Stegostoma tigrinum: one gene and its partner. The protein of the gene in region 1 interacts with the protein of each later gene in a pairwise test. Links are inferred from orthologs where the notes say so. Each region holds a gene or a part of one and is shown on either strand. Other genes may lie near its edges.

Region 1 (16,067 bases):
ACAGTTGAGGGCATTTTCAATCACCAGAGGGGACAAGTTACAGTCCTTGAAATAAGAGAACATCTGAGATGTGCAGGAGTGGAATGCCCCATCTTGGGAGCAGATGCAGCAGACCTGGAGGAATTGGGAGTAGGGGATCGCATTCTTGCAGGAAGGTGCCCACCTCCATGACCTGACACAACCTGTCCATCTTCTCTCCCACTATCCACTCTTCCCACCTCACTGACCAATCCCCACCACTGCCTACCTGCACTGACCTATCACTATCCCAACCACCTTCCCCAGCCCCACCCCCTCCTCTCTATTGATTTCTGAGCTCCCAATTTCTGAAGAAGGGTGCCAACCTGCAATGTCGACTCTCCTGCTCCTCTGATGCTGCTTGGGCTGCTGTGCTCCTCCAGCTCCACACTGTGTTATCTCCGTAAAGCTGAAACTGGTTTTCTAGATCATAATTCAGATTTGACTTTTGATAAAAGCTATTCAGGGGCATTTGGTATCTGACCCCATGTTGCAGTTTTTTTGTGTAAGTCAAGCTGGAGGCATTGGCCAGCAATTCACATGAGCGCATGGAATAATTTGCCAGTGGTAGTCGTGGAAGCGGTGCCATTAGTGACATTTAAGCGACTGCTGGACATGCACATGGACAGCAGTGAATTGAGGGGAATGTAGGTTAGGTTATTTTATTCTTGGATTAGGATTATTCCACGGCACAACATCATGTGCTGTACTTTTCAATGTTCTAGAAGCCTTGCTTTTTTTTTCATCTTCTCTCTCTCAAAAGGACACTAAATCAAGCGGCAAACATTTTACGCTAAAGGCGCCTTATAAACATGAGCGATCATTGAAGTTTTTACGTTTGAAATCAGCCAGCTCAGCGTTGGTCAAATCTAGATCCCTCTTTGTGAGTTGGGTGCCAAATCAAAGATTCACTTATCCAATGAACCATTGCTGGGGGAATATCTATAATTAATGTGCAAAGTAACATAGCGTTCTGAGGAAGGGTCACTGGTCCTGAAATGTTAACTCTGATTTCTCCCCAGTCAGACCTCCTGAGCTTTTCCAGCAATTTCTGTTGTTGTTTCTGATTTCCAGCATCTACAGTTCTTTTGGTTTTTATTTAATAACTATTCTCATTCCTTTAGATAAATGTTTTTAATTTTCAAAACAATATTTTTCTTTCGGCCACTTTTATCTTCATCTTGAATGCATTCTTTCATTTCTGGTCTATGTTTTTTCACTAACTGTACTTGATATGACATTAATATTCCAAGTCACAATCTTGCTTCAGACAACACTGCTGAGTAATGGTTCTTTAATCTGTTTGATTATGGAGCACCCAAATGCTTACCATGTTCACACATGGCCCCATATCCCTGCAATGGGCAGTATGCCAAAATGTGTTCCTAATAACCTTAACCTTCAGTGCAAAGGCCCATGTGTAGGACTAATGAATTGTGCAGCATGGTTAGCTCACTCCTTACAGCAGATCTTGATGATGGTCTTGTATTAGAACATGATTCTGCCCTTTGCTTCACAAGATGTTTTATAGGGTGGGGTGAAGGGCTTAGCGCTAATGATAATATTCGACATCTGCATGGGAAAACAGACTGTATAGGATGGGAAAGTAGGCTGGGAAAGTTAAGGATGACACTTTGACAATCTGCATGATCTTGAATGAGTCCTGTGAACATTGCTTTATAGGTTTAAGATAACGCCTGCAGCTTGTTTTCCTGTAGCTGTTTTCTGTATTAACAAGCAGTTTTGACTTCCGTATCTGCGTTCGCTGCGCTGACTGCTAAACTGTTTCAGAGAGAGTTTTGTTCTGAGAGTTGGGCTTCACCTTGGACTGAAATCACAAGCAGTGCCAGAAACATCCTCAGCCTCCGGACCAGCCGTTAATCGATGGGTCCCTGATGGCCAGAAAGACGTGAGGCTTATTGTTTTGTTTCCCTCTCTTTTTCATTCTTCTCATTTACTTAATAAATGTTGCTTTCCGTTTTCATCTTTATTATTACTCAATAAATGTACACCCTTAAGAAAATTGCTGTTGTCGAGCCTTCTCTTAACTACATTTTAACCAAATCCAAAAAGAACCACTTGGATACGCTCTGTGATCCGAGACAGATGTATATAATACTTACTTCCCCAGCCCACTGCAATCAAGCCTCTCCATCCTCATGCTCCTATGTTGTTGTAATGAAGCTCAACAGAAGTTTGAAGGGCAATATCATTTGATTAAGAACTAAAGAGACTTTCAGACTCAAACTCCGGGCTTAATGATTTCAGATCATAACCATTGCTCTCATTTCACTGGAAAGCAGCATAACCAGCATTCTGGTAATGAAGAGATAGTAGGAACTGCCGATGCTGGAGAATCTGAGATGACAAGGTGTAGAGCTGGATGAACACAGCAGGTCAAGCAGCATCAGAGGAGCAGGATGGCTGACATTTCAGGCCTAGACCCTTCTTCAGAAAATCTGTTTTTGTGGTTTTCGGCTCCTCTAGACTTACCTTTTAAATAATTTTATTGTCCCATTACCATCCCCTTTTATCTTGCACCATTGTCTCTTTTATAACTTAACCACCCCTGCTTCCCACACTGTCACAGACATTCCTTTTTGTTTTTTTCTGCAGGTAAATGAGACTAGTTCAGTTTAGGAAACCTGGTCGGCATGGACGGGTTGGGCCAAAGGACCTGTTTCCGTGCTGTGTAACTCCATGACTCTATCTACCATTTCTGTTTCAAACTTACTTAAAACCTGTACAATCTACAACATTGACCTGAATCATTAGGCTAGATTTTGCAATCAGTGCCAATAACCCCATATAAAGTTGTCCACAAAGATCTAATGATTTGTCTGACATGGATTTCCCCCTTCCCAGTGAGACCTTGATTCTGGTACAGAGTCTGTGGGATCTCCAAGTGTCCAACAAAGGTGATGACATCAGGTGAGCTAAGCAGACAGTCAGATTAAAGAATTCTAAGCAAACAAAATGTTGTATATGACAAAAAGAAGGTGCAGGAGAAACTCAGCAGGTCTGGCAGCATCTGTGGAGAGAAAGCAGAGTTAAAGTTTCGGGCACAGAGACCCTTCATCAGAAGATAGTTAACCTGAATGGATTAATTCCGAAGCCTTTGTATGGCTCTGCCCAGCAGTATATAAGTGACTGTCTCAGGAAGAAACCAGCCATTTTGCGCTGATCCAGTTTGTTAATCTCACCTCTGCTGTTAACAACCATGAACTTAGGTTAGCCCAGTCTATCTCTTACCAAGTATAATATAGTTAACCATTTTAATGTTACTGTAACCTGTTCCTTATCTAATTAACTTTGGTTACCCAAGACTGAGCCCCCTTGAGATGTTATTGGGATAGCATCCCATTGATTTCTATATTCACTATAAATTAATGCTCTTTATCTCCTTACACAGAGGTATGCAGACACTGCCTTAAAACTTCCTGTGGAGCTGGTTGCACACAGCAGGACAAGCAGCATCTTAGGAGCACAAAAGCTGACGTTTTGGGCCTGAAGGGTCTAGGCCCGAAACGTAGCTTTTGTGCTCCTGAGATGCTGCTTGGCCTGCTGTGTTCATCCAGCTCCACACTTTGTTATCTCGGATTCTCCAGCATCTGCAGTTCCCATTATCTCTTTAAAACTTCTTACCCAACTAGAATTAAGTGTAAAACTTTGTAAATCCTTATCTTCCTACACATAGGTAGAATAACACTGCCTTAAGCTTCCTGCCTGAATAGAATTAGGTATAAACTGTGTAAGTCTTTATCTTCCTGCACAGGGGTATGTGGAAACTGTCTCAAATAAGATTAGGTGGGCAGCGTTTGTAAAGGTGTGAGACTTCTGAGATCCTGTAAAGAATGTACCTTCAGTCTCTGCCAAACAGGCCAGGGCACTGACTTTTGTTCAAGCCAGACACTTTGGTGGCTTGAAATTACATTCTGTCACTTCGGCAGCTTGAAATTGCCTCCTGCCGTTAGCAGTTACTTCACGAACGATCGATACTGTATCCTGCTCTCTTTATGTTTTCGACGTGGTAATTGTTTGTGTATCATGTCATTGTCCGATGTAGTGATTGTTTCATGTAACATGCCATTGTGAGATGTAACATTGCTTTATGTAGTATGCACCCGATAAAGTATAAAAAGCGGGGGCTGTCCCCTGCTCGGGGAGAATCGCTTACGAGACTCTGCACTCTGTGCTGGGTTGAGTACAGTGATCCTCCACAGCTTGTACTTGCTTTGTAATAAAGGATCTGTGTTTTCCTAAACAGGTCAGTGTCTTGTCATTGCATCAAGTCCATGAGGGTCTCTGAAAACGAACCTAACACCTTCTGCCTAGGCTTTTGTGGTAATCCTTCATCACTCAGTATTAGTAAGTCCCTAGAATAGTACTTTTTTTCTTCTTCTTTGGTGGCCCCCAGGGATGAGGATGACTTGGGCTACTCTCTCATCATAGAGATATAACTGGCGCCGGTTTTAACACGACAGCCACCACACCCCAGACGAGGCATAAGGTTAAGAAGGTGTGACCTTCCTGCTAACCTCAGGTGGTATAGGTAATTGAACCTGCACTGTTGGTGTCACACTGCAAACCAGCCACCAAGCCAACTAGGCTAATCAAACCACCACGTAGTACTAACAAGAGGGATTGGTGGCGGGATCTCTGGCCAAGAAAGATCCTAACAGAACTAGCTGCAAACTGTGGGCATATCTCACAGCACAAATCAGGAAAAAAAAATTGCACAAATTCTCATTCACTTTTGGAGAACTTTAGAGAGTGAACCAAAGATTGGGCCCCACGAATTAAAATATGGTATGGGACATGATGGTAATTCTCTGAACTAGTAATCCAGAAATGCAGGCTAATGTTCTGGAGACATAGATTTGAATCCTAGACATGGGAAAGTTTGAATCCAATGAAAAACATTCTGGAATTAAAAACTAGTCTAATGGTAATCATGTAGCCATTGTTGTAAAAAAATTCATCCAATTTATTAATGTCATTTAGGGAAGTGAATCTGCTGCTCTTACCTGGATTGGCCTATACATGACTCCAGACCCACAGCAGTGTGGTTAGCTCTTAATTGGCCTCTGAAATGTCTGAGAGAGCTAATCAGTTCAAGGGCAACTAGGGACAGGCAACAAAAAAGTGCCACATCCACATCTTTTTTGAGAATATTGTTAAAATATTGGAAACACATGTTTGAAAAAAACACATTAAAATAAAATCTGGAATTTTTATCAGGATATAGAAATTTGTCCTTCTCTATGAATACAATATTAGGCCGGGAGAGGCTGGTCATACGTAATGATGACTTGATATTTACAATAAACAGTTACACCTCACTTGGCAAAACATAATTTTTCGGGAATAGAAATGTTCTGGATAAATACAGCAGGTCTGTCAACATTTCTGAAGAGAGAGACAGTATTAATATTTCAAGTATGACTGATCTTTGGAACATTTGTTTTAACAGCACATTGGTGAAATTGATGTTCAATCAAATAATTTGTAGGGTCTGCAGCAGGAAATCCTGTGGGGGAGCAGGAAAGCCTTGGTGAGACCATACTTAGAGTATTGTGTACACGTTTGGTCTCTTTACCTAAGGAAGTATGTTCTGGCTATGGGGGTAGTGCAACAAAGGTTTGTCAGACTAATTTCTGGGTTGACAGGACAGATATATGAAGAAAGACTGAATTGGTTAAGAATATATTCACTGGAATTTAGAACAATGAGGAGAGGCTCTTATTGAAACCTATAAATTCTCACAGGGTGAGACAGGATAAATTCAAGGAAGATGCTCCTGATGATCAGGGAGTCCAACAATAAGGCAGGTGAAGATAAAACATGAGGGTTAGCTGGCTAGTAATATAAAAGAAGATTGCAAGAGTATTTTTAGACATATAAAAGTTAAAAGAGAGGCAAGGGTGGACACTGGACTGCAGGAAAATGAATCCATTTTGAGTAATGGGGAACGAAGAAGTGGCAGAGAAACTGAATTGGTACTTTGCATCAGCAATCGCAATGGAAGACATCAATAGCATTTCTGACCTTTAAGAGAATCATAAGGTGAGTGTAGTGGCCATTGCTAAGGAGAAGGTGCTGAGGAAGCTGAAAGATCTGAAGTGGATAAATCACCGGGACCGGATGGACTACACTCAAGAGTTCTGAAGGAGATAGCTGAGGAGATTGTGGAAGCGTTGGTGGTGATCTTTCAAGAAACACTAGAGTCAGGGAGGGTACCAGAGAACTGGAAAGTAGCTAATGTAACACTCCTTTTTTTGAAAGCAGGGAGGCAGAAGATGAGAAATTCTATACTGCTTAGTCTGACTGCTGTGGTTGGTAATATTTTAGAGTCCATTATTTATGATGAGGTTGTGGAGTACTTGGAAGTGCATGGTAAAATAGGGCTGAGTCAACATGGCTTCATCAAAGGGAGATCATACCTGACAAACCGGCCTCAATTAATGAGCAAATTAGACAAAGGAGAGCTAATGGATGTGATCTATTTGGATTTCCAGAAAACATTTACGAAGGTGCTGCACAGAAGGGTGCTGTATAAGATAATAGCCCATGGTGTTAGGGGCTAGGTACTGGTATGGATGAAGAATTGGCTGACTAGCAGAAAGCAGAGAGCGGGTTTAAAGAGGTTTGTCTCAAGATAGCAGCCAATTACTAATGAAGCTCCACAGAGATCAGTCTTGGGACCACAGTTATTCAGATAATACATTAACGACCTGGATGAAAGAACTAAGTGCATTATCACTAGGTTTGCAGGTGATATCAAGATAAGTGAAGGGGTGGGGTAGTGTTGCGGAGACAGGAAGGCTGCAGAATGACTTGCACAGTCTAACAGAGTGGGCAAAGAAATGACAACTGGAATACAGAATCCTGTTTCTTATTTCTTCCCACATCCTTTGATCATAGAATGATAGGATCTCCACAGTTCAGAAAGAAGCCATTTGATTAATCGAGTCTGTAATGACTCTCCGGAGAGCACCCAACTAGACCCAGAACCATCCCCACCCCAAGTTGCGTGGGGTTTTTGCCATAGCTAACCCCCCAACCTACACATCCCTCCACATTATGGGGCATTTATTTTAACATACCAATCAATCTAACTTGTACATCTTTGGACTGGGTCCCTTTAGTCCTAAGAACAATATTTTGCCCCTTTTTGAAAATGTTCAATATTTTGGCCTCACTTGCTTTTTGTGGCAGAGAATTCCACAGGCTCACCACTCTCTGGGTGAAGACAATTGGTCTACCTCATTTCATTACATTGTGAGCCCCATTCCAGACTCCCTGGTCACAGAGAGCATCCTTCCCACATATACCCTCTATGAGATACCTAATTCATTCATAAGCTCACAAGCACCTGGCGGAAACCCAGGCAGACACACAGAAAATGTGCAAACTCCACATAGATGGTTGCCCAAGGGTAATCAAACTCAGGCCCAGCGCTGTGAAGCAGCAGTGCTAACCACTGAGCTGCCATGCTGCCTATTGTATTCCAGATAACAAGGTGTGGAGCTGGATGAACACAGCAGACCAAGCAGCATCTTAGGAGCAGGAAAGTTGACGTTTTGGGCCTAGACCCTTCATCAGGCAACTGTCTATGTGGAGTTTGTACATTCTCTGTGTGGGTTTCCTCCAGGTTCTTGCGATCTTATGAATGAATTAGGTATCTCATAGAGGGTAAATGTGGAAAGCATGTTCTCTGTGACTGGGGAGTCTGGAATTGGGGCTCACAATGTAAGGAGATGAGGTAGACCAATTGTCTTCACCCAGAGATAATGGGAACTGCAGATGCTGGAGAATCCAAGACAACAAAGTGTGGAGCTGGATGAACACAGCAGGCCAAGCAGCATCTCAGGAGCACAAAAGCTGACGTTTCGGGCCTAGACCCTTCATCAGAAAAGCTGTCGTCACCCAGAGAGTGGTGAGCCTGTGAAATTCTCGGCCACAAAAAGCAAGTGAGGCCCCAAAATATTGAATTTTTTTTCAAAAAGGGGCAAAATATTGTTCTTAGGGCTAAAGGGACCCAGTCGAAAAATGTGCAAGTTAGATTGATTGGCATGTTAAAATAAATGCCCCATAATGTAGGGGAAATGTAGGTCCGGGGGTTAGCTATGGTAAAAACCCCACTCAACTCGGGGGACGGAGTGGGGACTGGGAATGGGTCTAGGTGGGATGCTCTTTTAGAGTCATTACAGATTCGATTAATCGAATGGCTTCACTGTGGAGACACTATCATTCTACGATCAAAGGATATGGGAAGAAAAAAGAAACAGGATTCTGAGTTGGACGATCAGTCATAATCAAATCTGAGTGGCAGAAAAATCGCGAAGGACTGAATGGTGTACAACCTGCTCCTATTTGCAACCAGATTTTAATCACTAGCTGCGCGAATGCGATGACAGTTTCAGAATTATGGTCACAGCAAACGCTGGCAGTTTCTCGTCATCGTAAGCGCCAAATTCTTCCTACATCTTATTGCGACTCCACAGTTAGAGTGTAATCTGCTGAGTATTTGCACGATTTCTATTTTAATGCTGTGAAATCCAAATGCTTAAAAATAATTTTGTAAATTATTTTCCTTATTAACTGTAATACACTGCCAGCTGGCTGTAACTAAAATGGAGGTAAGAAGAACCCGATGAAATTCTCTGGCACTGTTATTCATCTTTGTAAAACCTTTCTAACTGGGCGGGGGGGGGTAGTGGAAGGAACTTATTCAGCACTTCAGGGTGTTCCCATCAGGCAGATTTCCTTTCAAACAATCATTAATCAGACTCTACATAAATTCTTCCCTCGATAATCCTCACAAACTAATCAACCCAACTCGACCCATTAAAATGTTTTGCAATGATACCATCCGCTTTCCCCAACCTCAAAACGCACACACTCTCACTCAGTTCCTTCCACTTCCGCATGGGGATTTCACAGGCCTGTCATGTGCCGCATGCGCAGAGTACCTCCGATGTTGCAATCGCAAAGTAGCGTTGTCGCATCACGTGACGGTGCCCAGCTGGCCTGAAAATGGAAAGTGGCTGCAGCAGCCGAGCGGTGCAGAGAGCAATGGGAGACATCAGTGAGTATTAAGAGTTTTGGAATCAGGGTAACGCAACCAATTATTCTGGTTACTGGCTGACATTGTCTGCGTGGATGTCTCGACTCGTGTTGCAGTGGCCTTGTTTCATTTCTAACTAGTGCTGTTTGCCCTGCCTTGTCATAATAACAGCTTGCTCTTTGTAGTGAATAACAATTGCAGCTTGCATTTATGTATCTACCATTCTCTTCACAACAGCATAAGACCAAAAACGCTCATTGTGACTGTGATTGGAAGGAGATATCAGGGTAGGCGATTAAGCCCTTGGGCCAATCTGTTTTTTAAGCAACAAAAACAGAAGTTGCTGGGAAGGTTCAGCAGGTCAGCATCTATACAGGGGAAGCAGCGTTATCCTTTCGGGCCCAGTGACCCTGGTACGGAAACTCAAGCTGTTTTCCAAGCTACTGACTCCATCCTTGCTAGTGGCAGCTGCCTGAGATTAAACCAGGCTGGTTGCATCTCAGATGTCACATTTGATCATGCATTTCTGATCTCCTATTCATTGTGCCCTAAGACCGTGTTTCCACCTCTGTACCACTGCACAACTTTGTACTTCAGTACATCTGAAACCATTATTTGTGACTTAGTTATCTCTAGACATGACTATTCTGGCACATTCCTAGCTGTCCCTCTTGCATTTTATCCTCTGGATCTTAGGTCATCTAAAACTCTGAACATAGAACATTACAGAACAGTACAGGCCCTTCGGCCCTCGATGTTGTGCCGACCTGTCATACCGATCTCAAGCCCATCTAACCTACACTATTCCATGTACGTCCATATGCTTGTCCAATGACGACTTAAATGTACCTAAAGTTGGCGAATCTACTACCGTTGCAGGCAAAGCGTTCCATTCCCTTCCTACTCTCTGAGTAAAGAAACTACCCCTGACATCTGTCCTATATCTTTCACCCCTCAATTTAAAGCTATGCCCCCTCATGCAAGCTGTCACCATCCTAGGATAAAGGCTCTCCCTATCCACCCTATCTAACCCTCTGATTATTTTATATGTTTCAATTAAGTCACCTCTCAACCTTCTTCTCTCTAATGAAAACAGCTTCAAGTCCCTCAGCCTTTCCTTGTAAGACCTTCCCTCCATACCAGGCAACATCCTAGTAAATCTCCTCTGCACCCTTTCCAAAGCTTCCACATCCTTCTTACAATGCGGTGACCAGAACTCTACACAATACTCCAAGTGCAGCTGCACCAGAGTTTTGTACAGCTTCACAATAACCTCTTGGTTCCGGAACTCGATCCCTCTATTAATAAAAGCTAAAACACTGTATGCCTTCTTAACAGCCCTGTCACCCTGGGTCGCAACTTTCAAGGATCTGTTGTCATGGACACCGAGATCTCTCTGCTCATCTACACTGCTAAGAATCTTACCATTAGCCCTGTACTTTGCCTTCCGGTTACTCCTACCAAAGTGCATCACCTCACACTTGTCTGCATTAAACTCCGTTTGCCACCTCTCAGCCCAGATCTACAGCTTATCTATGTCTCTCTGCAACCTACAGCATCCTTCGTCACTATTCACAACTCCAGCGACCTTCGTGTCGTCTGCAAATTTACTAACCCATCCTTCTACGCCCTCATCCAGGTCATTTGTAAAAATGACAAACAGCAGTGGACCCAACACCGACCCTTGTGGTACACCACTAGTAACTGGTCTCCAGGATGAACATTTCCCATCAACTACCACCCTCTCTTCTTTCAGCAAGCCAATTTCTGACCAAACTGCTATATCTCCCACAATCCCATTCCTCCGCATTTTGTACAATAGCCTATTGTGGGGAACCTTATCGAACACCTTGCTGTAATCTATATACACCACATCAACCGGTTTACTCTCATCTACCTGTTTGGTCACCTTCTCAAAGAACTCAATAAGGTTTGTGAGGCACGACCTTCCCTTCACAAAACCGTGCTGACTATCCCTAATCAATTTATTCTTTTCTAGATGATTATAAATCCTATCCCTTATAACCTTTTCCAACACTTTACCAACAACTGAGGTAAGGCTCGCTGGTCTATAATTACCAGAGTTGTCTCTACTCCCCTTCTTGAACAGGGGAACCACATTTGCTATCCTCCAGCCATCTGGCACTATTCCTGTAGACAATGACGAGTTAAAGATCAATGCCAAAGGCTCGTCAATCTCCTCCCTGGCTTCCCAGAGGATCCGAGGATAAATCCCATCTGGCCCAGGGGACTTATCTATCTTCACCTTCTGAAGGATTTCTAATACCTCTTCTGTGTGAACCTCAATCCCACCTAGTCTAGTAGCCTGTATCTCAGTATTCTCCTCGACAACATTGTCGTTTTCTAGAGTGAATACTGTTGAAAAATATTCATTTAGCTTCTGTCTTAACTTGCAGTAAGCCCAGGTTCCCTCATCACTCCTGTGCCCACTGACCTGAGGTGGCTCCAGGTCAAGCAACACCCTGATTTTAAAAATTTTCAAAATTGTTTTTGGGTGGCTGTATTCTCCTTGTGTCTATAATGTCTTCCTCACAACCCTCCAGATATATTGATTGCTGTGTCCCTGGTCTTGCACATCTGTTGTTTTTTTTTCTGCACCATAGTTGTGGATGTGTCTTCAGTTGTTTGGGCTGTAATCCCTGGAATACACTTTGTATGCCTCTCTGCCTTGTTTTCCTCCTCCATATTATTCTTACCTCTCTGACAAAAGAAGTAATCTGACCTGATATCCCCTCAATGTGGAGGTGCCTGTGTTGGACTGGTTTGGACAAGGTCAAAAATCACACGACTCCAGGATATAGTCCAACAGGTTTCTCTGAACACACTAGCTTTCAGAGCATTGCCCTTTCCTCAGGTGTGCTGATGTACTTTTGTGTCATACTAGTTTTATAATACTCCTACAAAGTACCTTGGCATGCTTCATTTTGCTGCTATTTGAATATAGGTTGTTATTGGTCAAAGAGGAGGAACGAAAAGGAGGCATTTTGGGAAAGAAGATCAATGGTTTCCAGGCAGTGGAAGGATGGAAATCGGGTGAACAACAGAGGTCGGAGTTGGTGGATTGCAGAGTTCCTGAATGTTTGAAGGACTGGGCAAGGTTATTGGATGGGGTGTGTGGATAGTGGGGGAGGCAGTGCCAGTAATATTTTCAAATGCAAAAAGAGAAAACTTGAAATGTAAGGTGGTTGTGAATCTCCGAACACTTTTAATCAATAATGATGAGTAATGGATGACTGAGACTCAGTGCAGCTTGGGCTGAGGATAGCAATGTTTCTTATGGAGATAAAATTCTGATTTATTTTTATCCACTTTGGACGATTGACACTCCAGGGCAATGCCGAGGGAAGGCTGAACTGTTGCAGGTGCTGTCTTTCAGCTAAGAATTATACAGCACGAAACAGACCCTTTGGTTCAACACATCTGTGATCTAGTCCCATTTGGCCCATATTCCTCTAAACTTTCCCATTCATGTACCCATCCAATGCCCTTTAAATGTTGTCATTGTACCTGACTCCATCACCTCCCCTGAATTGTTAATAAATGGTGTCATGCATCTAAGAAGTGATTCTTTCCATTCGCCAACATGTACTACAGACATAATGGGAACTGTAGATGCTGGAGAATCCGAGATAACAAAGTGTGGAGCTGGATGAACACAGCAGGCCAAGCAGCATCTCAGGAGCACAAAAGCTGACGTTTCGGGCCTATTGGGACTGTGACAGCCAGAATTGTTTGCTGTTCTCTGCAGCTTTTGCCTTGCATAAAATCAAACTATTTAATCTCAATTAGTGATGTACAAAAGTGCATAATGATCAGAATTTTTAAAAGATTGATTGCAACCCTGAGGTATCCTCACAAGCAAATCTGAAAGATCCCATGGCCGTTCTTTAGAAGATTTGGGACTCTCCACCACAAACAGCTGTTGCTGCTAGGTGAGTTAATTTTAAATCTGAGTTAGATTTGTTTTTATTTAAAGCAAAGGTATTAAGGGGGATATGGAACAAATGGAGTTAGACCACAGATCAGCCTTAAATTCGTTGAATGACAGAACAGGCTCAAAAGGCTGACTGATCTACTCCCCCAATCCCAATAACAGGGGATTAATCCTGGATGCCCTAACTGATGTGTATCCTTTCGACTAATCAGCCAGTCTTTTACAGCCTCATGATGTCCAAAAGCCCTTTATGTCAATTAAGTACTTTGAAGTGTAGCCACCCTTGTAACATAGGGAAACATGGCAGCTATTTTATGTACAGGATCCCTCCCTACAATCTACTGTTAGATAATGACCAAATAATCAATTTTCATAATATTAGGACTTACATATTGTAGAGCAAAATTTGTATCAAATTTTGCAGTCCGATTTTTATGCATAATAAATGCTTTACTGTATATACCATCAAATGGTTCTACTGTAGAATCATTCTGAATGCTACAATCCTCAGATGTTTCAGTGAATCATTTTACTCCAGCAAACACACAATGAGTTAGTGAGCATTAAAAATTAACTCAGTGCTGTTTTTGAGAGTTTGCACACAAATTGGCTTTCTAGTCTCTTATTCGGATGGGATGTGAGCTTGATGGCATCAGTGTCCACTTAGAGGTGTCTTTGGATGATGCCATCAAAGAGCAGTGTGTGGATGAGAAGTAGGAAGAGAGGAGAAGAGGTGGCTTGGAGGAAGATCAGACTTACTGGCACAGGAATGAACGGGGAAGCAATTGTAGGTATTCTGAACTTTTGACAGAAGAATGGAACCAGATGAGTGTGCTTCTCCACCTACACCACCGCCTCAACAGGACAACCAAAGACGGGTGATTTTAGGTGGATGGTGTGGGCAACTATCTTAGAGTGGAGGCGAACTAAGGGAGATGTGGAAGTGAGAGGTTACCATGTTGACAGCTGCAGAAGATGTGCTTTGTAACTTATGCCCCTGTAGTTTACATCCTTTGTTGTCATTCTGTCGTGTATTTTTGTCATTTTCAAAAAAAAACGCAAAAATTGTCTTACCAGATGCTAGGAATCTGCTGCAGACAAATTAGCACAGTGTAGATTAACATTTCCCTCTTTCCTTCAGGAAGGTAGTGTACAGCAGTTCGCACTGAAAGGACAAGATGCTTTTGGTAATGTGCACTTTGATGTACCAGCAAGCTTGGAATGGAGTCAAAACAGATCAGGGAAGCCCCAGGGCTAGCCTAGCCTGCGACAAGCTAGCTTTTCCTGCAGCAACAAGGCTCAGTTTAGAAAGATTAACTATCCCCTTCTCTTAGTGATACCCAGCGTGCAAAGTGTGTGTGCACAGAAATCTGCAGGATAAAATCAGGCCAAGATGACACTACCAAATCAAATGGCTTGGTGATGTACACTGTGCAAGGTTACATTGTTCATTTGAGTGATCATGCTTGTGAAATCGAGCCTCAGTAAAAGTCAGTGGAAGAAAAGTTGTTTGTTATAATTTATTCTCATTCAGACTGCTTTAAGAAATGGAGAATTTGGGATAGATTTGTGGTTATGCTATTGGACCTGAACTAATAACCCAGAGAAGGTGAATGGAAATGTCGCCATTGCAGTGAGAAAATTTGAATTCCCATCAAATTAAATAAAATCCAAAGAGAACTTAACAGGGGAAAAAAAAGACAGCTTTCTTTTTAAGGAAGGTAATTTAGCGTCATCACAAGCCGATTATGATGTTGCTGTCAGATGTTGTTATCTAATTCTTCACTGCCCAGCTTAATATCCTGCTGGGTCCTCAGAGACACAGCAGATTTCACTTGAGCTGGAGCATGGATCAGTGAGGAAATTGGACAAGACCTGAATTGGATTTCAAATCCATGCCAAAACTTAATGCTGAGCTTAAGCCAGAAGGTGCCCCCTTGGGAATTGTGTCCTCATATTATTTTGAAGACACGAAAGGAGAGATTCCCTGGTGCCTCAGCTCATGATCAGCTCATTATTGCTGTGTATGAAACAGGCTGTGCAAGTTGACAGTCTCATGTCCATCATTGAACAAAGAACCAACTTGTAAGGATGTAATTAATGCCTTTTACAATCTCATGTCCAGAAGCAATTTGTTAATTAAGTTTTTTTTTGGAAGTGTAACCACTGTCGTAACATAGGGAAGCATGGAGTTTATGCACTGCAGGATCTCTTCCCGCAATCTACTATTAGACGATGACCAGGTAATCCATTTTAATGATATTGGGGCTCGGTTAATGTAGAGGAAACTTTGTTTCAATTTTTGCAATCTATGATTTTTATGCATAGTAAGCGTTTTGCTGTATATGCCCTCAAATGGTTCTACTGCAGTCTCTGACAGTTGTGTGCCCTCACTACTGCCTGGAAGAGGAGTCTGGTGGTGCAGTAGGAGTGTCCTTACTTCTCAACCTCACCCCTTGCTCAGGTTAAATCACCATGAGTCTCCTTTGTCTGAGAGAGTAGCCCTTTGGTCTTGTGGATGACGCCTTTCCCTTACCTCTGGATCAAGAAGCACAGGTTCAGACCTAGTTTACTCCAGATATGTATAATAACAGTTCTGAACAGGGTGATTAGGAAAATATCCAAAATGTGGAAGAATACAGTACTACATTGAAAGTTGGTGTAGGTAATGTGCCCAAGTAAGTGCCATGGGACTTGAACTTGAGATAACAAACTGTAGAGCTGGATGAACACAGTGGGCCAAGCAGCATCCGAGGAGCAGGAAGACTAACATTTCTGAAGAAGGGCCTAGGCTGGAAACGTCAGCCTTCCTGCTCCTGTGATGCTGCTTAGCCCGCTGTGTCCATTCAGCTTTACACCTTGTTATCTCAGATTCTCCAGCATCTGCAATTCCTACTACCTCCGGGTCAAAGAGGGAAGTTCAAGTCCCAGAGACAAGAGAGATATCGCAAACAAAAAGCAACATCTGGAGGCTAAGTTGAAGTATTCTGAAGTCGCAGAGGGTGTTTTACAGATGCAAGACTT
Region 2 (15,993 bases), on another chromosome or scaffold:
AACTTTGTACAAAGGATTACAATTTTTAATTAAATTATATCTTAATTCAGTCTTACAGCATTAGTAAGAAACCGAAAGTTGATATCCCTTGTTCCAAGCACAATTTTGATTATCTGTATTTTTGCTACCACTGTTAAACATGCCATATCGCACTGATTTTGCCCCATTGCAATCCACCTTAAAATAACGTCTTCCCATTTCAAGTGAAGTACACCATTCTTTTGTTTATTTACCTGACAGTCTAAATTTCTCTTCGGTTTCCTTTCATAATGCACACTGATGTTGGCTAAATATCATTCATACATATTTTAAAGTAATTTTTCAACGTCTTATGTTTTACTTTACTTAATACACAATTTCACAACTTGAACATTTTTCCACAAAATTAATTCTTTCCCCAAGTCAGCATGAATGCACTCTCTCACTTGGCTCAGTGTAATCACTATTCCACAGTGGCAGTATCAAATACAACAGACGATATAACAAAAAAGTGACAACACAATTCTTAACCCACAACACATTTTTATTTTATTCCAAAATTTAGATACTGACTGATATATAAAAAAAGACTTACCAGCCGCAGATCAGCCAGGAAGACACTCTTCCTCCTGGAACTCCTAATCTATTGTCAGAAGAACAATTCTGTTGACATGGTAAATGTGCTAATCTGCCTCAAAGAGCCACATGCTTGCTTCATTAAATAAATGAAACAATACTTAACTCTAGGAATGATACACCAAACCAGGTTTACAAAAACAAAAGAAATTGACCATATTCTCCTTATCTCACAAAATCCACAGAACAGCTACAACTAATCTATTTTCCTTTTATTACAATCATAAGTCTTACCCAAGACGTGAACTGTGCATGTATTACTTATCTTAAAATGGCAAATGCTTGGCTTACATCACACATGCATATCAACGAGTATAACTTGGAGAACATTTCTAACCAAGGAAAACTGAACTGTTTCCAAGACTGAATAAGAAAAAAAAACTAGATCTTGCGAAGTTTTTTTAAATTCATGCAAGGATGAAGGCATCACTGGCTATGCAGCATTTATTGCCGGCCACTAATAGCCCAGAAGCCTATTAAGTGTCTGGAGTCACATGTAGGCCAGACCAGGTAAAGATGGCAATTTCCTTCCCTAAAGGGCATCAGTGAACCAGATGGGTTTTTTCCAACAATCGACAATGGATTCAGGGTCATCAAGATTGTTGATTCCAGATGTTGTATTGAATTCAAATTCCAATTACACCACCTGCCATGGCAGGATTTGAACCCAGGTCCCCTGAACAATGATAATGGGAACTGCAGATGCTGGAGAATCCAAGATAATGAAATGTGAGGCTGGATGAACACAGCAGGCCCAGCAGCATCTCAGGAGCACAAAAGCTGACGTTTCGGGCCTAGACCCTTCATCAGAGAGGGGGATGGGGTGAGGGTTCTGGAATAAATAGGGACAGAGGGGGAGGCGGACCGAAGGTGGAGAGGAGAGTATAGGTGGGGATATGGGAGGGGATAGGTCAGTCCAGGGAAGACGGACAGGTCAAGGAGGTGGGATGAGGTCGGTAGGTAGGAGATGGAGGTGCGGCTTGGGGTGGGAGGAAGGGATGGGTGAGAGGAAGAACAGGTTAGGGAGGCAGAGACAGGTTCGACTGGTTATGGGATGCAGTGGGTGGAGGGGAAGAGCTGGGCTGGTTTTGGGATGCGGTGGGGGAAGGGAAGATTTTGAAGCTGGTGAAGTCCACATTGATACCATTGGGCTGCAGGGTTCCCAAGCGGAATGAGTTGCTGTTCCTGCAACCTTTGGGTGGCATCATTGTGGCACTGCAGGAGGCCCATGATGGACATGTCATCTAAAGAATGGGAGGGGGAGTGGAAATGGTTTGCGACTGGGAGGTGCAGTTGTTTATTGCGAACTGAGCGGAGGTGTTCTGCAAAGCGGTCCCCAAGCCTCCGCTTGGTTTTCCCAATGTAGAGGAAGCCGCACCGGGTACAGTGGATGCAGTATACCACATTGGCAGATGTGCAGGTGAACCTCTGCTTAATGTGGAAAGTCATCTTGGGGCCTGGGATAGGGGTGAGAGAGGTGGTGTGGAGGCAAGTGTAGCATTTCCTGCGGTTGCAGGGGAAGGTGCTGGGTGCGGTGGGGCTGGAGGGCAGTGTGGAGCGAACAAGGGAGTCACGGAGAGAGTGGTCTCTCCGGAAAGCAGACAGGGGTGGGGATGGAAAAAATGTCTTGGGTGGTGGGGTCAGATTGTAGATGGCGGAAGTGTCGGAGGATGATGCGTTGTATCCGGAGGTTGGTGGGGTGGTGTGTGAGAACGAGGGGGATCCTTTTGGGGCGGTTGTGGCGGGGGTGGGGTGTGAGGGATGTGTGGGATGTGTTGCGGGAAATGCGGGAGATGCTGTCAAGGGCGTTCTCGACCACTGTGGGGGGAAAGTTGCGGTCCTTGAAGAACTTGGACATCTGGGATGTGCGGGAGTGGAATGCCTCATAGTGGGAGCAGATGCAGCGGAGGCGGAGGAATTGGGAATAGGGGATGGAATTTTTGCAGGAGGGTGGGTGGGAGGAGGTGTATTCTAGGTAGCTGTGGGAGTCAGTGGGCTTGAAATGGACATCAGTTACAAGCTGGTTGCCTGAGATAGAGACTGAGGTCCAGGAAGGTGAGGGATGTGCTGGAGATGGCCCAGGTGAACTGAATGTTGGGGTGGAAGGTGCCACACCCGGCACCTTCCCCTGCAACCGCAGAAAATGCTACACTTGCCCCCACACCTCCTCCCTCACCCCTATCCCAGGCCCCAAGATGACTTTCCACATTAAGCAGAGGTTTACCTGCACATCTGCCAATGTGGTATACTGCATCCACTGTACCCGGTGTGGATTTCTCTACATTGGGGAAACCAAGTGGAGGCTTGGGGACCGCTTTGCAGAACACCTCCGCTCGGTTCGCAATAAACAACTGCACCTCCCAGTCGCAAACCATTTCCACTCCCCCTCCCATTCTTTAGATGAACATGTCCATCATAGGCCTCCTGCAGTGCCACAATGATGCCACCCGAAGGTTGCAGGAACAGCAGCTCATATTCCACTTGGGAACCCTGCAGCCCAATGGCATCAATGTGGACTTCACCAGCTTCAAAATCTCCCCTTCCCCCACCTCATCCCAAAACCAGTCCAGTTCGTCCTCTCCCCCCACTGCACTACACAAACAGCCCAGCTCTTCCCCTCCACCAACTGCATCCCATAACCAGTCGAACCTGTCTCTGCCTCCCTAACCTGTTCTTCCTCTCACCCATCCCTTCCTCCCACCCCAAGCTGCACCTCCATCTCCTACCTACCAACCTCATCCCACCTCCTTGACCTGTCCGTCTTCCCTGGACTGACCTATCCCCTCCCATATCCCCACCTATACTCTCCTCTCCATCTTCGGTCCGCCTCCCCCTCTGTCCCTATTTATTCCAGAACCCTTACCCCATCCCCCTCTCTGATGAAGGGTCTAGGCCCGAAACGTCAGCTTTTGTGCTCCTGAGATGCTGCTGGACCTGCTGTGTTCATCCAGCCTCACATTTCATTATCTTCTATTCCCCTGAACAATGTTTGGGTCTCTGGATTAACAGTCCAGCGATAATATCACTGGGCCACTGCCTCCCCCAAGTACTTACTAGTAGTCAAATCAGTACAACCTGTGTTAATTAACAGACACTGGAGTTGAATAATTAATGCTTTATTTATGTGAAAATATGCAAGAGCCAAAAAGTTGGGAAGCATTAACAGATTTCCTGAAGATTTGCTCATGATTAGCCAAAATACAACAGAAATTCAGAAATTTTAACTTCTCTTTTCCCTCTCATCACCACTCACAGAAGAGAAATAAGGCCAATGAAAAACTGAAAAAAATCAGTTACTTTATTCCACAATCAGTACCTCTCATAACTTCTGAAGTACAATTGTCGTCGACGGCAGTCGTCCCTTGATTCGAGGATGACATCTACTTAGCGTTGCAAGTTTGTGCCATGGGTCTTCATGTGATTGAATAGGCCGATGCTCGACCCACAGATTTTTGGGCACATGGAAGTAAATTGGGCAAGACAAAACTTCTTCTGCCGTGATAAAGTTTTGCAGCACAGCAAAATCCTGTGAAGTCCATTGCAGAAAAAGTCTTATTATATATCACAAAGCAGCATCATTCAGTCATGCAGTGCTCAGTCGCCAATAGCTGGTAAGACAACATCCCACTTTCAATGCATAAATGAAGCTTTACTTCACACAATTTCCAATTTCCCATGGTGCACTATTGTGCATTCTGCCTCGTCCTCATCCAAAGAAAACTGTCATAATTAATGCTTTAATAGTCTATTTCAAGCAATGCTAGAAATAACAATGCACAAGGAGGAGACTGCATCTACATAAAGGGAGGTGAAAATTTGAGAACACTGCTACCAGAATCCTAAATTAGCATAATGCTGTAATAGCAAATATAGAAATTTTGCTAATAAGACAAACAAGGCAAATCTGTGATCACTGAAAGTGTTGATCTCTTGCGATTATTCTATCAAAACATGCAAAGTACTTTAAATATAAATTTGCAGCTTATTTTTGTAACTGTTGAACTTAATTTTTTTAAAAATATATCTAGGCAAATGAGTTACTGAGACTTGCTGGAAACATTTAGAAAAACAGCGAGAAAGTTACTCAGCAAAATGCCATGTCACTGGTTTTAACATGTCAAAAGCACTACATGAATGTATTACGTGTAGATGTTACATGCCAAACATGAGCCACAGGCGGAAAGAAAATTATTGACTATTTGCTCAACATTATGAATTGTTGCTGGCAATGAATAGACTGAAAAAAAATCATGCAACACACCAAAGGTATTCAACCACAACAGCATCATAAAAGACTCACCACTAAATTTTGCTCACAAGTGATTGATTGAATGAAATTTAAAACAAGTTGTATTCAATTTAAATACACTAAGTACTCACTAACTTCATTTCCAAACACCAAATAAAACAGCAGTCAATCAACACAGAAACAGCCCAACACCATCTCACTTATATATAGACCATTTCAAAAATACAAGCAATGACTTACACCTCCACATAAGTGGGATTTTCAAGACAAGCTAATGATGTTCAAATCAATTCCAAATTACCACAAGTAATGTTTTCATTGCATGCTGAAAATTGGATGGGAGGTTTACAATATTTGATTTGAAAACTAGTTATAAAGCTGGATCTCCATTATCAATTTTTTAATACATACAATTTAAAATATTTCTGTTATCTTAAATGGTGCAAGCTCGTGGACAAAACTGTTCAAAACTGCTAGAATTTGAGATTTTATTGCATTAGGCAGCCTGTTGTGCTTCTCTATAATTCTGTGGAATTTTTTATAACACATCCAAGAATGAGTACAGTATTGCCATTCTACTATGACTCCACAGTTTTCCTTGTATATCAATGCCATTTAACATTAGTTTCAAAGGTTGCCTGGGAAGCAAGATCAAAATGGACATAAATGAGCATGCTCAACAGCAGATTACTCAGTCCAGGAAAATGAAAAAAAGCATTGAAGGCATTAGGAGTAGGAAGAACCGTTTTAAAAACCCATAAACTCAAGTATTCCAAAATTACAACAGAAAGCACAAGAACCAATGAGAATTTGCAGGCATTAAACTTGGCTGGTAATTACTGCATTTATTTGTTACTAGTTGTATTATCAAACAATTTCAAGTTACACTGCTTTGAAACTTTCTGTTTCTCAATAACTATACTGTTATCTTTAGCTGTTACACTTTAAGTTTACTGGCAACAGCTGAAACGGTTGAGAAAAATGAATCACAATCTTAAAGAAAGTTTCCGTATTTCCCACATAAATTTAACAACTCAAATTAGTAATTACTGTTTCTGTTCAGGCTTTCATCTAACATTTAACACCACAATACGAAAGCAGCTTCTCCAATCAAAGTGAGCCACACAGAACTGAAACTTGTTTTTTATACATATTGTGAATAAGATACTGTATGTTATGATAGATATCACAGGTTTGGCCACCACTATACCTTCATCACTTTGAAAAATATCAGATTACAAAAGCTGAGTTCCAGAGTTCAAGCTCAAACTAATATTTATGTGCAAGTGTCCCAGAAAGTAATGAACAATATAGTGCTTGATTTCACACACAGTTCACAAACTGTTTTTAAGCAAATCTTAAACAGCTCTTCTTGACATCTATGGTCAAACATCACATGGACTAATGCTTCCACAAAATTCTCAACTTCTAGAAATGAAATTGGCAGCACAACCAGGGATTACAATCAATACGACCATGCAAAGATTAGGCTTAAAATAAATTCCATTTTAAGTTCAAATAGATGCCTCAAATTGACAGTGTCACCAGAATTAAAATTAAGATATTGAAATGTTCACTCAAATTAGATTATTTGTAAGAAATTTGCCTACTTCCCATCCTCTACAGATCTTCTGATACAAGCACCTAATGGGAGCCAACTATGAAGAATGACTTGTAATGAAATTCAATTAAAATTACTTTCACATATCATAATTCGGTCCACGTAAAAGGAAACTTGGGCTCAGGTACAATGAGACACAGCTGACTTCAGCCTATAAACAAAAAGCATCAAACAAAGCAACTTCACTACTTAATGCAAAAAGCACCAGTTTTGCCATGTCTATAGCTTCAATTCAAATAAACTGTACAACCACAGAAATGTACGACTCTCTAAGTGAATCTCAAACAATTTATCATCTATACACCAGCACATTCCAACGTCAATTATTCCTTTCAAAAATAAAATCAAGAAAAATTTATCTGCTCTACTGAAGATGCAAACACAAACTTTCTCACTTACACAATCTAGATTAATCAGGGTAACTGTAGTAACCATGATGCTTTCATGCACATACCCAAAAGCCAGGACAAGTTGGAAACAAACTGAAAAATACATTTCAAGAATACAGATCAGCTCTGCCAAGCCACTTATAATGTAGGCCAAATGCTGACTGCCTTCACGAACACTTTCACACCCTAGATCATTTCAACTTTTAAAATATTACTGAAATCTTAGCTATATGCGTGTTATTAACATGGGACTGCAGATGGCTTTTTTTTTCCAAAATGGTGAACTGTGATACTTTTGTGTTAAAATCTTTCTAGGCATAAAACAATTCACTTCTTTATCTTCCTCCTGTTGCAAAGCTGCCAACCCACCTGCCGTTTTTTTTTTAAAAAGTCATCCCTGGCTGCAATGGACAAATTTGCAGTATGAAAACACGCCGTTTGTTCTACGCTGTATGACAGCACAAATTACTACTCAAAAGAGTGGTTCCTTCATTCATTTTTAAAACAAATATATTTATAACTAGTTGGAACAGCTGGAAAGGGAAGGCATTTTTGTTTTCACGTACGCCTGCGATGGCAAATGCAAAAATTTCGACCAGGAAGTGTGGAGGCTCTGCAGCCTCAACAGACCGAAAGAGTCTCACTGAACCAGACAAATACGATTCTCATAAGTCCACGATCCCCTCTGACTGACTGAAGTTGGGAGAGAGAAAATGCCTTCACTCTGAACCCAACTCATCAAACGTCGATCAACCGGACCAGCGGTGTCACCGGTAATTTTAGCACAAAGCGAAAAGTGCATGTGGCATCACTCCGAAGAAAAACAGACCTCCCCACGCCACCCGCCCCAGCACCCTCGGTGGGAGCGATCACAGAATGTAAAATAAAATGCACTGAAACCGGAAGAATTTCCAAGAGAACAACAGGCAAGGCCTGTCCAGCAGAGATTCTTCCCCCAGGAAAAGGCGAGATGGAGAGCAGACGTGTTGGGCCCTGGGGAGACTGTCTCTCTTTCTCTCAGCAGCAACGCCGCACAAACCAGGTCCCAAAACCTCTTACCTCCTCTTCACTCTCGTTTTTGAAGCACAAACAGGCCGCTCGCTTCTTGTACCCGTCCCCATCGTAAGTCCGAGTCTGGTTTTGCTTTAATTTCATCATTTATGTTATTTCAGTAAACTGTCTTGTTTCAATTCTACACTGTGTTTCCTTCCCTCCCCCAAAAGAAAAAAACTTCGCATGAGAAGAGAAGCAGAGAACTCCCTCAGTTGTGAATTGTATTTTTTTTACTGAACGACGAAGGAAGACTGATCTTCAGCCGCCGGGACGACCTCGCTTCATATTGCCACAGCCACTCTCTCCGACACCAGCGCCGCCGCCGATACTACGGTCGCCATCATCATCGCCACCTCCACTACTCCTCCTGCTACCGCCGCCGCCGCCATCTTGGCTGCCCTGTGCCTCAACCGAACCTGCTACACAAAGGCAGTTTGTGGGGTGGGGGGCGTGGGGAAAAGGGACACGTGGGGGGGCAGGGCTTGTTCCCAGGCCCAGCCAATCGGCAGCCAGGAGCGTGCCCCGTTCGCCAATCACGTCCGTGGCGCGCCGATGCCCCGCCCCGTCAAGCAAATTCGGTAGAAAATGCCTGAGCTCCATTTCCATCAATGAACGCTCAGAGCCGAGAGGGGGCGCAGCGGATGTCCCCCCCGCCTCTATCTGTGAGACCAATGTATGGGAAGACAAAGCAAAGGCCATTTGTGTGTATAATTGTGTCTTTCTTGAATGTAACGTTCACGTGTTTTGTTGATTTTAAATGTGGAAGTTTTTCTTTCCTTATTCTGTTCTATATAGTGAAAAGGTGCGGCTGTACATTAATCTTTTTAAAAAAACTATTTCCAAAGATGAACTAAAATTACATATAATGCTGTGGGTTGAGATATCAAATACAGTTTCTTTTTCAGCTGTAATGAAACGGGATAGGCTGGGATTGTTTTCCATACAGCAGAGAAGTCTGAAGTGGTAGCTGATTCAGGTGTACAAAGGGGTAACCACGAGTCACATCTTTAAGGGAAGGAGCATGAGCTTTAGCGGGGATTTGAGAATTTTATCTCACCGAGAGTATGGCAGAGATCTGGAACACAAGCTAAAAGGACATTTGAGGCAGGAACCGTGAAGACAATTGCACACTTGAAATGTCAGAGCACATAAGCCTACAGGCCAAATTTTGCAGGATGAGATTAGAATATAGATGTTTGTAAACTACACGGACATGATGGGTAGAAGGCCTTTTTATACAGTAAAAGATCTATGACTTTATTTTATACTTATTCATGTGACAAACTTAGTAAGTTTGAATTTATCCTGTCTCCTGGCTGGTCTCCCATCGTCCATTTGAGGAGGTCCAAAATTCTGCTGTTGGTGTCCTAACTCGCACTAAGGCCAATTTCCCCACGAGAAATGATCCCTTTATGTGCTGCAACAACCTTAAGTTCATTATGTTTTCTAGTACACGTCATATCTTAAAGGGGACAATTTGTCAGCAAGATTCCTGGTATGTTTTGGTTGCTGTTTAGCACATAAATGTGCAATTTAGAAGGACCGTTGCACATCATTTTTTGTACTCACTTACCTACTTTAGTTGGGTTTGGACACCACCTCAAGTGAAAATTCTTGTCCTTATTTCCAAATCTCTCCATGGCTTTGTCCCTCCCCAGTCTCAGTGACCACTTCCAGTCACAGAACTCTTTGAGATAGCTCTTCGTCCTAATTCTGGTTTCTTGCGCATCGTCGATTATTATTGCTCTATCATTGGCGGTACGACTTTCAGTTGCCAAGTCTAACCCTGGAACTTCCTCCCTCCACTCTCTGCCTCCCCACCTTTTTCTCTCCTCCTTTAAGACATTCCTTAAAATCTACTTCTTTGAACAAGCTTATGAATAATTTGTATTTATGTCGTCTATTCCTTTTTTTAGTTTGATTCCCACTCTAGATCCTTTGTGATTGGTAACTATTTTACTGAAAGTACATTTTTGAAGTACCGATGTGACAAAAATCGAAAGTTAGTCATCGGATTTTACAAAATAATTTATTCTTTTCTTTACATTTTGTTCTAAAATGTGGCTCACCTGTTTTTGTTCAGATTTTCTGGGATCTTTCTTGCATTGTTGTTCTCTGTTGCTTTATTATCTAGTTACAACGGAATAAATACACATCACCAAAAATCCGCCTATAAATGATAATTCAGCAACAATGCTGTACAACAAAAGGGTGAAGCGATTCTTCTATTTACTTTTAAAGCGGCCTCTCTTATTGCGTTGTTCTGGAATGAGAACTTGCTCCCCAACGGTTCACCGAATTCGGGCAATTGCAGTCACCAACTGTCGCCGAATACTAGTTCAATTCAAACCGGTACCAGCGTTTGATAAAATGTTTCAGACTTTCCCCATTGTCTTCCACAACCTCAACAAACGGAAATACCTGCTGCCAAACGAAGAGGAGAGGTATTCCGAGATGCAAGACCTAGCCTTGGAAAACTGGCAAGAGCTGACCACGTCCAGATCGGTGCCAGATTCCTCACCATCAGGGGGCAGGGCAGTGAGCCAAAGAGAAGGCGCCCTGCTGGAAGACTTGAAAGATCTCCAGATGTTGCCCGAAGGGTCATACGTGGTGAGTGGGTCCAGTTTGCGGCCAAAACAGTCAACTGCGCCACCAAAGTTCGAAAACAGGCCTGTCCCTCCGGAGGGATTCAGGAAGGGGATGTTAGAATCTGGGATGAAAGCGTCGCCCAAACCACCAAGTCCTTCCACGGAATTGCAAATGCAGTCACCAACAAACACAGGCTCGAGACGGCACACATGTAGTCCGGAGAGGAAAAACAAGTGAGTGGCAGTTTAAGAGAAAAAAAGACCCATTTTGTACGTAGAAATATTTTCCGTGACCTTGTGAGTTCGGTACACTTTCCTCTTTCATCCTGGTTTCACATTCAAGTCAGTTTCGTGTGACACAAAAGCCTCAACTGTTAGGGCCTCGAACAACTAGTTCTAAACAGGCTCGACGCTGCAAAAATAGTCATTCAGCAGCGAAACACAGCCTTGGGCCCAACTCGTACACGAGGACCAGGTTCTCTAAACCGAACTAGTCCTATTTGCCTGCATTTGGCCCATATCGTGCTACACGTTTCCTATCCATGTATCTTTCCAAATATCTTTTAAATGTTGTAATTGTACTAAACGACTCCAGCATCTGTAGTTTCTACAATCTCTGAAACAATTTTAGCCACGTTGCTTCTAACGAAGCATGGACATAGCTAAGTGAAAAAAAAATGCGACTGTCAATTTTGTGACAGCCCTATACACCAGGGTTGTAAGCAGCAAATGTAGAATTGACAAATTTCCCTTCAATTACTGGCACTCTGACCACTGACATTTGCCTTTCTAAAGCCTGCTTCTCAGAAAATATTTACATCAAATTTGGTAGATGTTCCTTAACTTTAAACATTTTTACTTCACAATTGATGGGAATTTTGAGTTAGGGTTAGCATTCGTCTCAATGGGAAAGGGTATGGTATTTTTGGCTTAATCCATTTTGAGCAGACCGACTTAACTATTGTTTCTGCATTGTAAATAAATTTGCCGTATTACTGAAGAAAGGAAAAATTTGCCATGCCAGGAGTGTAACAAGGATTAACCAAACTCAATTTAGGGCTGATAGTACTGTCCTATTAACAGAGGTTGAGGGGACTTGGCCTGTATTCTCGAGAGTTTAGAAGCATTGAAGCAAACAAAATTCTTACAGGGCCCAAGAGGTTTTGTTTATTCGTTTACAGGATGTTGATGTCACTGACTTACTCCCCATCATTGCTCATCTTTGACAAGGTGATAGTGAGTTGCCTTCTTGAATCGTGTGGGGATATTGGGGAGGGGAGTAAGTGCTTGCTGAGAAAAAGGGGATTCCAGGATGGATAAAGAAAGACTGTTTCCTCTGTCCAAGGTGTCCAGAACTTTGGATCAGAATCTCAGAATAAGAGCTAGGTCATTTTGGGCTGAGTTGAGGAGAAATTTCTTCACCCAAAGGGTGATTGGAATTCTCTACAGTGAAGGGCCAAGGTGCTTCAATTATTGAATATGTTCAAGATAGAAGTCGATAGAGTCCTAGATATTAATGATATCAAACAGTATGAGGATAGTTCAAGAAAAGGGCAATGAGGTAGAAGATCAGGTATGATCTAGGTAAATGACAGAACAAGGTGGGGGGAGAATGTCTTACTGTTGCTTCTGTTTCCTTTGTTCTCCAAAATATTCTAACACATGCTGTCCCTTGCACAGAGACCTTCTACTCCTCCAGCATCCCTTCTATTTTTTAGAGGTCCTCTCCCCTTCTGATCCCACTTCAGTTCAGGAAAGGTAGCCCCTGCAGATTCTGTGCAGGTTTGCCTTTTATTTGAAACACCTGTTCCTGTTTGGAGCCAGTAATGCCCCTTCCTGTTGTAGACCCCACAGTTTATAACTGCAGTACCACCTCCCCCACACCCCACCTCCACTGACTACCCTACTAATTTACACAAGCCCCCTCCTTCATTGATCTGTTTTTAATGGTTTGCATTCAGTTTATAACTATTGCTCTAACTTCACTTCAGGAGCAGTCTAATAACCCTGTGGGCATAGTTTCCAAACCTGTTAATGGGACCATAAATTTCTCACTTCCAGTTTTCAACACCAAATATATTCCTGGAATGAAGGAAGCAAGAACTTTAGGTTCAAAGAAAGTAGAACTAGACAGAAATGTTTAAAAATAAGAGGTCTCAGACTTAAGATGAATATCAGGGGATTTTTTTTCTCTCAGAGGGTTGTTAATCTCCAGACTTCTCTTTCCTTAGAGGTGGGGGCCTTTGAATAATTTTAAGGCTAACTTAGATGTATTCTTGACTGACAAAGAAGTCAAAAGGTACAGGTGACAGGCAGGAAAATAGAGGCCAAAATCAGAACAGTTGAAACCTAATGAAATGGTGGAGCAAAGTTCAGAGATTGATTTGATTGATATATTTTTGTCACATGTCCTGAGATACAATGAAAAGTGTTGTTTTGCATGCTATGTAGGCAGATTATATGCATCAAAGGATCAGGGTAGCAGAATAAAGTGCAGAATACACCATTTCAGCCACAGAGAAAGTCCAAAGAGAGAGATCAGAATTAATATTTGAAAGGTCTGTTCAAATGTCTGATAAGGATGGGGAAGAAGCTGCTCTTGAATCTGTTCATACATGTATTCAAACTTTTATATCTCCTGCTGGATGGAAGATGGTGGAAGAGAGTATAAGCAGGGTGGGAGGGGTCTTTGATTATATTGGTTGTTTTCCTGAGACAGTGGGAAGTATAGATAGAGTCAATGGATGGAAGCCTGGTTTGTGTAATGGACTGGGCTCTGTCCAACTTCTGCTCTTAACTTATATATTGTTATGTCTGTATATATATTTGAACATTAGCCAGAGCCAACGGTAAGAAAACTACTAATGGGATGCACTAATATCAATTTACCACTCAATATCATTGCAGAAAATGAAGGATTGGATTTTATATTCATTCATATGCTACCCCAGGAATTATAAACATGTACAGATATGAGTAATTTACTTTTTCCTGACAAACCTTCTGTCAGCCACATTTGTTTAAAGAGATTGGAATGGTGGAAATGCACAAAGATCAATTCCCTGACCAAACAATCAAAATAATTTTAAACAGGATGTGTTAACCTTACAGAAATATAGACAAAGGCACCTCACCCATAGTAATGGTTGATGCAAATATTTCTGCAAGGGGTCTCGCAATTTTTTCCCTTACTTCTCAAAACACTCTGGGATACATTTGATCAGGTCTCAGAGATTTACCCACCTTTATCGTCTCTAATACCTCCTGAATGTCCCTTTCTATAATGTTAACTGTTTCTAAAACATCAAAATTTATTTCTCTGCATTCTGTAGACTCCATTTTTCTCCTTTCTCCACAGTAAAAACTAATGAGAAATATTCATTTAGTATCTTTCCCATCTCTTGGGGTTCAACTCAAAGACAGCCTCCTTGGTCTTTAAGCAGCCCTACCCTCTCTCTAGTTACCCTCTTTCTGTCAGTATATTTGTAGAACTTCTTTCAATTATCCTTAACCTTATCTGCCAATGCTAAACCATATCCACTCTGTGCCTTCCAGATTTCTTTCTGAAAATGCCCTACACTCTTCATACTGATTAAGAGATTCTATTGAACCAAGTTGTCGATGTCCTAAATAAGGTTCTGTTTTATTCTTGACTAGAACCTAAATATCTTTATTCATCCATTGTTGCTTAATCTTACCAGCTTTACCCTTCACTCTAGCAGGAACATAATGCCTCTGAACTCTTGTCATCACATACTTGAAAGACTCCCACTTTTCAGTCATCCCATTATCTGCAAATAGTCTACTCCAGTCAACTTTTGAAAGTTCTTGTCTTATAGCCATTAAAATTTGCCTTACTCCCATTAAAGCTTTAAATCTTATGGAAGGTTTATCCATTTCCATAACCATTTTGAAACTGATGGCGTAATGACCATCAGACCCAAAGTGTTCCCCCACTTTAACTTCAGCCACCTGCTATCTACCCCAAAGAATGACTAATTTTGATTCTTGGTGATCAGAGATAATGGGAACTGCAGATGCTGGAGATTCTGAGATAACAAAGTGTGGAGCTGGACAAACACTGCAGGCTCATAAGATGCTGCTTGGCCTGCTGTGTTCATCCAGCTCCACACTTTGTTATCTCTAATTTTGCTTCTTGTCTAGAAGGAGCATACACATATTGTCAAAAAAGTCTTCTTTAACACATTTTAAAAATTCATCATTATCCAAACCTTTAACATGATGGTAGCCCCAGTCAATGTTTGGAAAATTAAAATCCCCCATTATTACAACCTTATTATGCTTACATATGCCTGAGATCTCCCTATGTATTTGTTTCTCAGTTTCCTTCTTACTAGGGGGGCCTATAAGACAATCCCATCAAGGTAATCGTTCCTTTCTTAATTCTAACTTCTACCTATATATTTTCACTGGATGATGTTTCAGAAATATCTTCTCTGGTTATAGCAGTAATGTATGTTGATGAAGGGTCTAGGCCCGAAATGTTAGCTTTTGTGCTCCTAAGATGCTGCTTGGCCTGCTGTGTTCATCCAGCTTCACACTTTGGTATCTCGGTTTCTCCAGCGTCTGCAGCTCTCAGAGATGTCATTCCTACTGATATGTATAATAATTTTTGGCTCCTCAATCTCACCTTTAACAATATGCTGGAAACTTTTGGAGATGTCCTTAATTCTAGCACCAGGTAGGCAACAAAGCATTCTAAATTTACACTGACTGCCACAGAATCTCCTGTCTGTGCCCTTGACAGGAGAGTTCCATATAACATTAATTCTATTAAATTTTGTCAAATAGCGCCTAATGTAAAAATCATTCCAAGTGTCCAAATAACTGATGCCCCCTTCCATTTTCCTCGGAGAGTCTGTCCCCTTCAACAGTTCCATAAACTGAATATCTGTTTACCTGATATGCCTAGGGCTGAGAGGGTAATATGCACCATTGCAGCCTTGTGTAAGTGAGTTGGGCAGGGACTTTGGTAATTTCAAAGCCGACAGGGTTGACAGGAAGTGCTTGAAGGAAAGAGATGTTTTTGCTTCAGAGTTCATCGACATGGAGAGGTAAAGCCTGGAACTCACTGTCTAAAGACTGCCCACTGTTGTCTTCCATTGTTCAGTAAATTGCAAATGTGTAATGGAAATGATTATGACCACAACCAGGGTAAGTGCTTTGTTCTGTGAAGGAAGGTGCCTCAACTTTGCATGAGCTGAGGACCTTCAAATGGCAAAATAGTTCAATTCTATACATTGCATGAATGAGATCTAAGAGCACTACTTTCGTTGTGACTCTTACGCATTAGCCAAATCTGTGCAGTACAAAACATCCCTGACCAGGCAAGATGGTTGATCCCCACTTAATTTATGTGCTTTATGGCAATATTTTCCTGCCTGGAAGGTCGACCATACTTGCCAAGGCAGCATTCACTGGCCATTTACCTATTGTCTACTTGTGGCTCAGGTGCTA

The links.
Region 2: the proteins of ankyrin repeat and SOCS box protein 13-like (region 1) and diphosphoinositol polyphosphate phosphohydrolase 1 interact in a two-hybrid assay, tested with the Homo sapiens proteins (2 studies listed by BioGRID and IntAct). The link is inferred for Stegostoma tigrinum from reciprocal best matches to the Homo sapiens genes ASB13 and NUDT3.

Annotation. Positions count from the first base shown.
Region 1 is NC_081378.1:11,545,592-11,561,658, reverse strand, and holds the start of ankyrin repeat and SOCS box protein 13-like, read left to right. Parts: upstream 1-8,993; 5' UTR 8,994-9,057; coding exon 9,058-9,109; intron 9,110-16,067. UniProt on the Homo sapiens protein: May be a substrate-recognition component of a SCF-like ECS (Elongin-Cullin-SOCS-box protein) E3 ubiquitin-protein ligase complex which mediates the ubiquitination and subsequent proteasomal degradation of target proteins.
Region 2 is NC_081374.1:28,466,964-28,482,956, forward strand, and holds the start of diphosphoinositol polyphosphate phosphohydrolase 1, read right to left. Parts: upstream 8,362-15,993; 5' UTR 8,033-8,361; coding exon 7,934-8,032; intron 1-7,933. UniProt on the Homo sapiens protein: Cleaves a beta-phosphate from the diphosphate groups in PP-InsP5 (diphosphoinositol pentakisphosphate) and [PP]2-InsP4 (bisdiphosphoinositol tetrakisphosphate), suggesting that it may play a role in signal transduction.